2 linked regions of the Canis lupus familiaris genome follow. The protein of the gene in region 2 interacts with the protein of the main gene of each other region in a biochemical or structural test. Links are inferred from orthologs where the notes say so. Each region holds a gene or a part of one and is shown on either strand. Other genes may lie near its edges. The genes, in order: CYCS and COX4I2.

Region 1 (3,910 bases), on a different chromosome or scaffold from region 2:
ACCCAAGTGTTAAAATTTTAATATTACGCACAAACCACACTAAAATGCCTTTCAATTAGCAAAAGGCAACATTTTAGATGCAAAGAATTTTAATTAAATTGGCATAGTTAAGACCAAAAAGATAAAGTGGACACTGCCAGCTTATCTTCAGCCATTGCCTTTAACAGGCTAGGGAACACAACTTGAAACACAGCTGAGTCTTGCTGTTCTGAGAGTGAAGGGATTTCCTCAGTATTTAAATATATTAATATAACCCGTTATATAAATCTAAATATAAAACCAATCTATAAATTTAGAGGTGGCATTTACCATCTCTGTGAAAAGCTACACATCTCTAATCAATTCCAATCATATTTTTTAGAAGGGGAAAACAGTGAGAGCACTTGCTGAACCAGAATTACTATCAAAGTTCAAAAAACTGATCATATTCATTTAACCACAAGCCAATCTTATTTAAATCAGGACTGTCCAAGAGAAACCTTCTATCAGCCACTCATGATCTGAATTCTGGTCAATGAGATCAATTTAAATATGGTACACATAAAAAAAAAGTCATGAGACATTTTTGTTTTGTAATAAATAAGGCGATAGCCAACTATTACTCCTTAGTAGCTTTTTTGAGATAAGCTATTAAGTCTGCTCTTTCCCCTGTCTTCTTAATGCCAGCGAAGATCATTTTTGTTCCAGGGATGTACTTCTTGGGATTCTCCAAATACTCCATCAGGGTCTCCTCTCCCCAGGTGATGCCTAAACAAGGAGGGACGTATTGTTAAGTATCTTACACTCCTGATAAAGGGCTTACCATTGGTTATATTCATGAAATTGTGCTTCTGTTATTTAATAACTGATCCCCCACCTCCCAGACCCTTACCTTTGTTCTTGTTGGCATCCGTGTAAGAAAATCCAGGGGCCTGACCGGTCTTCCGCCCAAATAAACCGTGGAGGTTTGGCCCAGTCTTGTGCTTGCCTCCCTTTTCCACAGTATGGCACTGCGCACACTTCTGAACAAAAATCTTCTTGCCCTTCTCAACATCACCCATTTTTCAATCTAAAAATGAAAGACTCCATTACTTTTTTCCTCCGAGTAAAAATCCAGTGAAAACCAACCAGTGGTCGCTCCAGGGACTGAATTACTAACCCATTGCAAATCTAGAGTATTAATCACCAGGGCGAATCTGGTTTTACTTAGTGTGCTGGCGACTGGCTCTCTAGGTACCAAAAACCACTAGCTGGAACGACTTCCCTAAATACACATCTATGTGTATTCGAGTGATAGAACTAAAGCCCAAGTAAGCAAAGTGGGAACCTAGTTCAAAAACGGTTTCAAAAGTTTGAGGTCAAGGTCACAGAAAGTCACAAATCTGAGTCAAGTCGAAAACCATGATTACATTAAACCAAAACTACCAAACTACCAAAACTTTCAGCTTTTAAGAAAGCCTATTTAATCAGACTGCAATGTGAAGCCACCTCTGATCAGTGAAAATACATTTACAAAACCCAAGTCCTGTGGTTGCTAACAGCCTGCTCGGGCCGGTATAAACGGCCCTGCGGTGCGGGTGGGAGGTCTCCCATCCGTCCGTCCTCCAGCTCTGGGCTCTCTGGAGACGCCCACGAGGTCACCCAATCAGGCTTTCAAGGAGACGGAGGGCACCTGCCTTCCCGAGATGCCTAGGCAGGTTAAGGGGGGAAAAGCGACAAGTGACTCGGAAGAAAAAGGGCTCGTTTTTGCAGGAGCGGTAGTTCCGGCCGCCTCTGCAGGAGGCCGTGGGGCGCTGCGCAGCCCCCCACATTCCCGCCCTCATCCCGGGAAGTCTGTCACTTCCACAGCCCCTGGGCCCCGGCTACGAGACCCCCGGGCCTCGGTCTGGGTTGGATCAGCATCCAGGCGGCTTCCGGGCTTTAAGGGCCCTGATCGAGCCCACTCCCCGTCCCAGCCGGCGTGCCGCCCCGTCTCCAGCCGTAGCCCACCGGCTTCTGGCCGGCCCCAGGCGGGGCGGGGGGGGTCACCCCTGGCCTTCCCGCCCCAGGTGCGCCCCACTCGCCGAACCCGGGCGCCGGCCTCGGCCAGGGCGCGCACCCCTCGACACAGCCGCGCGTCCCCGTGCTGCGGCTTCCCGCCCGGCGCTCACCGCCTTTCTGTCGCGCGCGCGAAACGAAGAAGCCCGCTCGCAAGCCGGACGTCCCGCTCTCTAAGTCCAAGGACACGCCGCTCCGCACCTAAGTACCGGTGTCGGTGCAACCGAACTCGATCCGTCCCTTCGCCGCCCGCCCTGCGGCTGCGCGGCCTGCTACGCAGTGACGTCACCGCGCCTCATTGGCTTCAGTCTCCAGGGCCTGCGTTAACGACCGGCGCGGAGGCCGGCCAGCAGGGTAGGGTGTGCCGCGCGGGTGCCCTTCTGCTCTCCCGCCGGCAGTTACGACAGGCCCCTGGATGTACGACAACGAGGCGGTGCCGGGAAGGGCTGACGTCGCCGTCCTGCCTTTCTGCGCATGCGTATCCCCAAGGGGAGGGTGGAGCGGAGTCGCGTGGTGGATGGAGGGCGTTGTTGTGCTAAGGTAACTGCTCTTGGGCTTGTTGACGTAATGCGCTTTGGGCGGGGGCGGGGGGGGCGTTTTGCCTGCCGGGAGGGGAACGCCCCAACTCTGACGCACGTAGAGGCCTCCTGGCTGCTGTCCGTGCAGCTGGCGGCCTTTCCGCAGTCTCTGTCCTGCTTTCGCGGCTGCCGCCAGCCGCACCCCAAAGCATCGCCTGGAACCCGGAGTTGTGAGAGTTGGACCTGAGCTCCCGACGTACCGCTTCGCCTTCACTCTGCTACTTCGACATCCCCCCCTTGACGGACACCCCGGGTCTGCCGCAGGGAAGCTGCCGTAGCTGCGGCGGAAGCTGGATTGTAGCTCGGGCCCCACAGCTGCCGGCTTTTCCGCCGACACCCGTCTCCCTTGCGTTTCTGTGCGGAACAAGGAGGATGTGCAGGCGCTAGCGAGGAGCCTTGTCAAGGGGCTAGAGCATTGTTGGAAACCTAGAGAGGATTTGCATCTCCTCTAACCTAGGCCGAATGACCTGTTCAAGTAAGATGTAATGCGGTTGGGGTCATATGACAAAGGCAGGTTTGATAACCACAGCTTCCGGGGATCATCCTTTTCCTCCAGAACTAGCTCTCCTTCCAGACATGCTCGGTTCTGTCCCTGGCAAATATTTTTTCTGGACTCCCTTGCCCCCGCTAATTCAGCCCCCGAGTTGTGAATGGGTTTTCCCCCTCCTTTCTCGTGTTCTAGCACTGCCGTTATTCATTCACAAGTGTTTATTGAATGCATATTATTTACCTGGAGTAGATCGTGGAGGACTCTTTCTCTGGTGGAGCTTACATTCTAGCCATCTTCTTCCTACTCCCAAGTTAAGCAGTAAACTTAACTAGATTACCTTACACCCCTTCCAGACCACGGGTACCATGATTTCTGCTCCAGACCATCCATCTCTCTATACGACCGGATTATTTTTTTATTGTTTTCTACGTCCTGATTTCGAGTTTCCTCTAATTGCACACACTAGGGCCACAAAAGCATCCTGTGAAACAGAAATCACACCTATTATGTTTTATAATATCTATGTATTCAAGTTTGGAAGAGACACACAGTATTTGCAGTTTACTCACAATACCTGAGGGAATTAGTTGAGAACAATGATAATTCTGCAGTTCGGTTTTCTATTCTATTCTATTTATTTATTTTATCTTTTTTTTTCCCCCGGTTTTATGTTCTATGTTGCATCTGTTCCGTCTACCTCCATCTTATCCCGTAGGCTTGATAGTGGCTGGTAAGGGGTGTAACTATGACAAAGCAATGCCTTAGGTTTTTCCTTCTACCAACATTATTGATGCCGTATTTTTAAAGTCCCTTCTTTTTTTTTAAT
Region 2 (3,910 bases):
ATAAATAAATAAAATCTTTAATCTTAATTATGGAAAAATAATTGACTATATAAAGGAGTGTCCTCCCTTTCCTAATGCCACATATCCGTTAAGACTAAGCCCTAGCCCCTACTCCTCCAGGAAGCCCTCCCTGACTGGCTGGGCTCTGGGCCCCTGGAAAATGGCTTATTTTTGCCCTTCCTTCACCACACTGCTCAATTTTAGGTATCATGTAGGGTTTGTGGCAGGTGAAGAGTGAGGTGGAAACTGAAGACAGAAGAGCTCAGGCCAGCTTTATTGGGGTTAAGAAGAGAAAAATTCCCCCCACACGCTCTAGGCCAGGGTGGAGCTGCAGGGAGGGCAACCTGGATGCCCAGTCACTTCTTCCACTCCTTCTTCTCATAGTCCCACCGAGAGGCCAGGCCTTGCACAGGGTTACCCTTCATATCTAGGATGCGCTGGAGCTGCTGGGCCTTCCATTCATCCGTCAGGGTGATGGGCTTCTTTGGGAACACTGCAGGGAAGGCAAGGGGTGGGGACAAGGATGGCTCAGGACCCTGAAAGTCTTCCACCCTGTCCCCCTGAGCCAGGGTCTCCAGGCACAGGGTTAGGAAATCCTGCACCAAGATACTCCACCCTATCCACCCTATCTGTTCCCACACCAGACTTCCTGCTAAAGCTTCACTCCAGAGATCTCTGTATTATGGTCCTGGCTCTGCCTTAGACTCACTGTGGAAATTGGGCTAAGGTCCTTCCCCTTTCTGAGCCCACTTCCTTACTATTAAAGTCCAATGGAATAGGAGCACTGATTCAAAGTTGGCCTGGATCCAAATCCTATCTCCACCCTCCCTTGCTGTGTGACCTTGAACAAGTCACTTCATCTCTCTGAGCCTGTTTCCTTCCCCATCAAAAACAATTCCTATCTACTAGGGCTGTAGGGATTGAGTGAGTTAATATGTGTAAAGCAACTGGTACCATGTGGGACAGATATTAAGTACCTAATATATGGTAACTACTATAATTACTAAGTTTGCTCCCACTGACTGGGAAGGGCCCAGGATGGGTAGTTTGTTTTTTTTGCTTCCTTAGAGGGTTGGAAGTAGGAGGTGAGGAAGGGAGGCCTCCTTAAAAATCTAGGGAGGGCTGTACTTAACTAAAAGGCTGAAAGCCCTCAAGAGGCATTTTAGGTGCCTTGATGTGCGAGTCAGGGAAGGCATGGCAGTGGAGCTCCCCACACTGCTCATACCTTGCTCCCTGGTCCATTGGTCCCTGAGGCTGACTCAGCCTGTCGGACCTCCTCACTGGTACTTTCTATCTCGGTGGATAGGAAAGAAGGAAAAGATCCTTATGGCACCTGCCAGCACCAAACACTGGGGTAAACTAGAATTTTTCCCAAAGGCTCCCTCATTTCATCCTCACGCAAGAAAGGAATTCCCATGACACTCTTACAGAAGAAGAAAGGTGAGGCCAGTAGAGGTGAAGAGCTGGGGCACAGCCTGCCAGCTGTTTCCTAGCATCCTCTCCCCTTCTCCCAGAGCAGAGCTTCTTAAAGCTGAGTGGGCATCAGAATGACTTGGAGAGCTCATTAAAACACAGATTGCGGCAGCCCGGGTGGCTCAGCGGTTTAGCGCCGCCTTCAGCCCAGGGCCTGATCCTGGGGACCTGGCATGGAGTCCCACGTCAGGCTCCCTGCATGGAGCCTGCTTTTCCCTCTGCCTGTGTCTCTGCCTCTCTCTCCCTCTCTCTCTGCCTGTGTCTCTCATGAATAAATAAATCTTTTTAAAAATCTTAAAAAAAAAAAAACAGATTGCTAGGCTCCACCCTAAGAGTGTCTGACCTGGTAGATCTGGACTGGGGCTGAGAATTTGCATTTCTAAATGTTCCCAAATGATGGCGTTGGTCCAGGGACCGCACTGAGAAATCACTCTTCTGTAGTCATAAGCAGTTAGCAGGGGATGTGACCATCTAGCTAAAAACTATATTTCCCAACTTCCCTTGCCGCTAGACATGGTCATGTGATCATTTCTAGCCAAGAAGAGGTAAGCAGAAGGGATGTATGCAACTTTTGGATCTTAAAGAGGAGTGCATCCTCCCTTTCCCTGTTCTTGGCTGGAATGTAGGCTTTAATGGCTGGAGTTGGATCAGCCATCTTATATGGCAAGAAAGGAAGCTGCATGTGAAGAATGGCACCACCAAAGGAGCCTGACACTGCAGAGTCTCCATACTCTCCCTGGTCTGTGAGAGGAACAAAACCTGTGTCTTGCTTAAGCTCTTATATGTTGGGGACTTTTATTACAGAAAAAGTAATGATTAATAACAGTAATCAGCAAGAGCACCATTCATGATTATGTGCCAGGCCCTGGCTCACAGCTCTCTCTCTCACTAACTCCTTACAAGAACACTGTGGTGCGGACACTAGTATTTTCATTTTATAGATGAAGGAATTGAGGCCCAGAGAGGTAAAGCTTCTACGTCCCAACCCAGGCAGCCATGCTCTGCCCTTCACCCTACACTCTTTGGGGGGCTTTTCAAAACTCTTCAGATAAGTGCCAGCATAGTTGCCTTATAAGAGCTTGCTTATAAGAGCTCTGACCACAAGGGCATGGCCCAGGACTGCAGCAAGGTGAGGTGTTGCCACTCACCATAGACCCGCTGCCACCAAATCAGCAGAGCTGTGAATCCAAAAAAGAAGAAAACGCAGCCCATCACTGTCTTCCACTCGTTGGAGCGACGGTTCATCTCTGCGAAGGTCTCATGGAACTGGAGGCGATACACTGGAGGCAGATGAGGTTGTGGGGAAGTAAGGGCCTTGGGTATATCCATTCCAAGGACCCTGGGCCCTCCTCCTCCTGCAGCAGATGCTGCCCATTCAGCAAATTCTTACTGAGCATCTACTGTATGCAAAGCTTGGCCAGGAGCAGGCTCCAAAACTTGGAGTTATTTACGGGCATTTCTGTTGGGCAGGACACATCCTTCCTGTTTCCCAGGGTCAGGTCCCTGCCCTCCCATCCACCTTAACTGCCTCTCTGCTCCATCTCCCTGCACCACTCAGTGATGTCCACGATGCTCCATGCTTTCCTGCTTCCATATCCCTCCCCATGCTGTTGCCACTACCAGGCAACACCCTCCTCCTCACCATTCAAGGCCAGCCAGCACATGCCCTCCTCTGGGAGACCTACCAGGATTCCATCTCTCTCTCTTTAGTGTCCTCACAATCCCTTGGACACACCTCACCCTGGCCACAAAGCCTGTATTACAGTTTTCTGGGTTTATGTCAGTTCCCCCATTGGCTGGGAGCACCCTGAGGGCAAGAACCATCAAGGTGATTCACTCCTGTGTCCCCAGCATCACCTAGCATCTGGCTGTGCACAAATAGTTGACTGAATAAAAGAATAAATGAGCAAATGATGACTTTCATCCCTCAGGTATGCATTTAGATGTTTTGGGATTTCTGGCTGTCTTGGGCAGGGGCCCTTCTTCTTCTTCTTCTTCTTTTTTTTTTTTTTAAGGCTTTATTTATTTACTTATTTATTTAAGAAAGAGGTAGGGGAGGAGCAGAGGGGGAAGATGAGGGAGAGGGAAAGAGAATCTCAAGAAAATGCAGGGCTTGATCTCATGACCCTGAGATCATGACCTGAGCTGAAATCAAGAGTCAGAGGCTTAACTGACTGAGCTGCCCAGGTGCCCTAGGTGGGGGCCCTTCTTTTCAAAGTCACCACCAGCCCACTCTCCCCAGCCAGCCCCACCCTGACACCTACAGGCCACCTTCTCAGCATGGCTCAGCTGGGTCCAGCTGCCCTTTTCCTTCTCCTTCAGGGCCCGCTGCTCAGCGTTGAGCTCTGTGCAGAAGGGCTCATCAGGCATGGGGTAGGAGCGCTGAGCATGGTAGTTGGTGTAGGGTGGCATCTTCCCCTCACTGTTGGCTGTGGGC

The links.
Region 1: the proteins of COX4I2 (region 2) and CYCS form a complex in vitro, tested with the Homo sapiens proteins (4 studies listed by BioGRID). The link is inferred for Canis lupus familiaris from reciprocal best matches to the Homo sapiens genes COX4I2 and CYCS.

What each region holds. Positions count from the first base shown.
Region 1 is NC_049235.1:38,664,269-38,668,178, forward strand, and holds the start of CYCS (cytochrome c), read right to left. Parts: upstream 2,256-3,910; 5' UTR 2,130-2,255; intron 1,049-2,129; 5' UTR 1,041-1,048; coding exon 872-1,040; intron 748-871; coding exon 599-747; 3' UTR 1-598. UniProt on the Homo sapiens protein: Electron carrier protein. The oxidized form of the cytochrome c heme group can accept an electron from the heme group of the cytochrome c1 subunit of cytochrome reductase.
Region 2 is NC_049245.1:21,625,003-21,628,912, reverse strand, and holds the end of COX4I2 (cytochrome c oxidase subunit 4 isoform 2, mitochondrial), read right to left. Parts: intron 3,903-3,910; coding exon 3,738-3,902; intron 2,754-3,737; coding exon 2,622-2,753; intron 494-2,621; coding exon 357-493; 3' UTR 252-356; downstream 1-251. UniProt on the Homo sapiens protein: Component of the cytochrome c oxidase, the last enzyme in the mitochondrial electron transport chain which drives oxidative phosphorylation.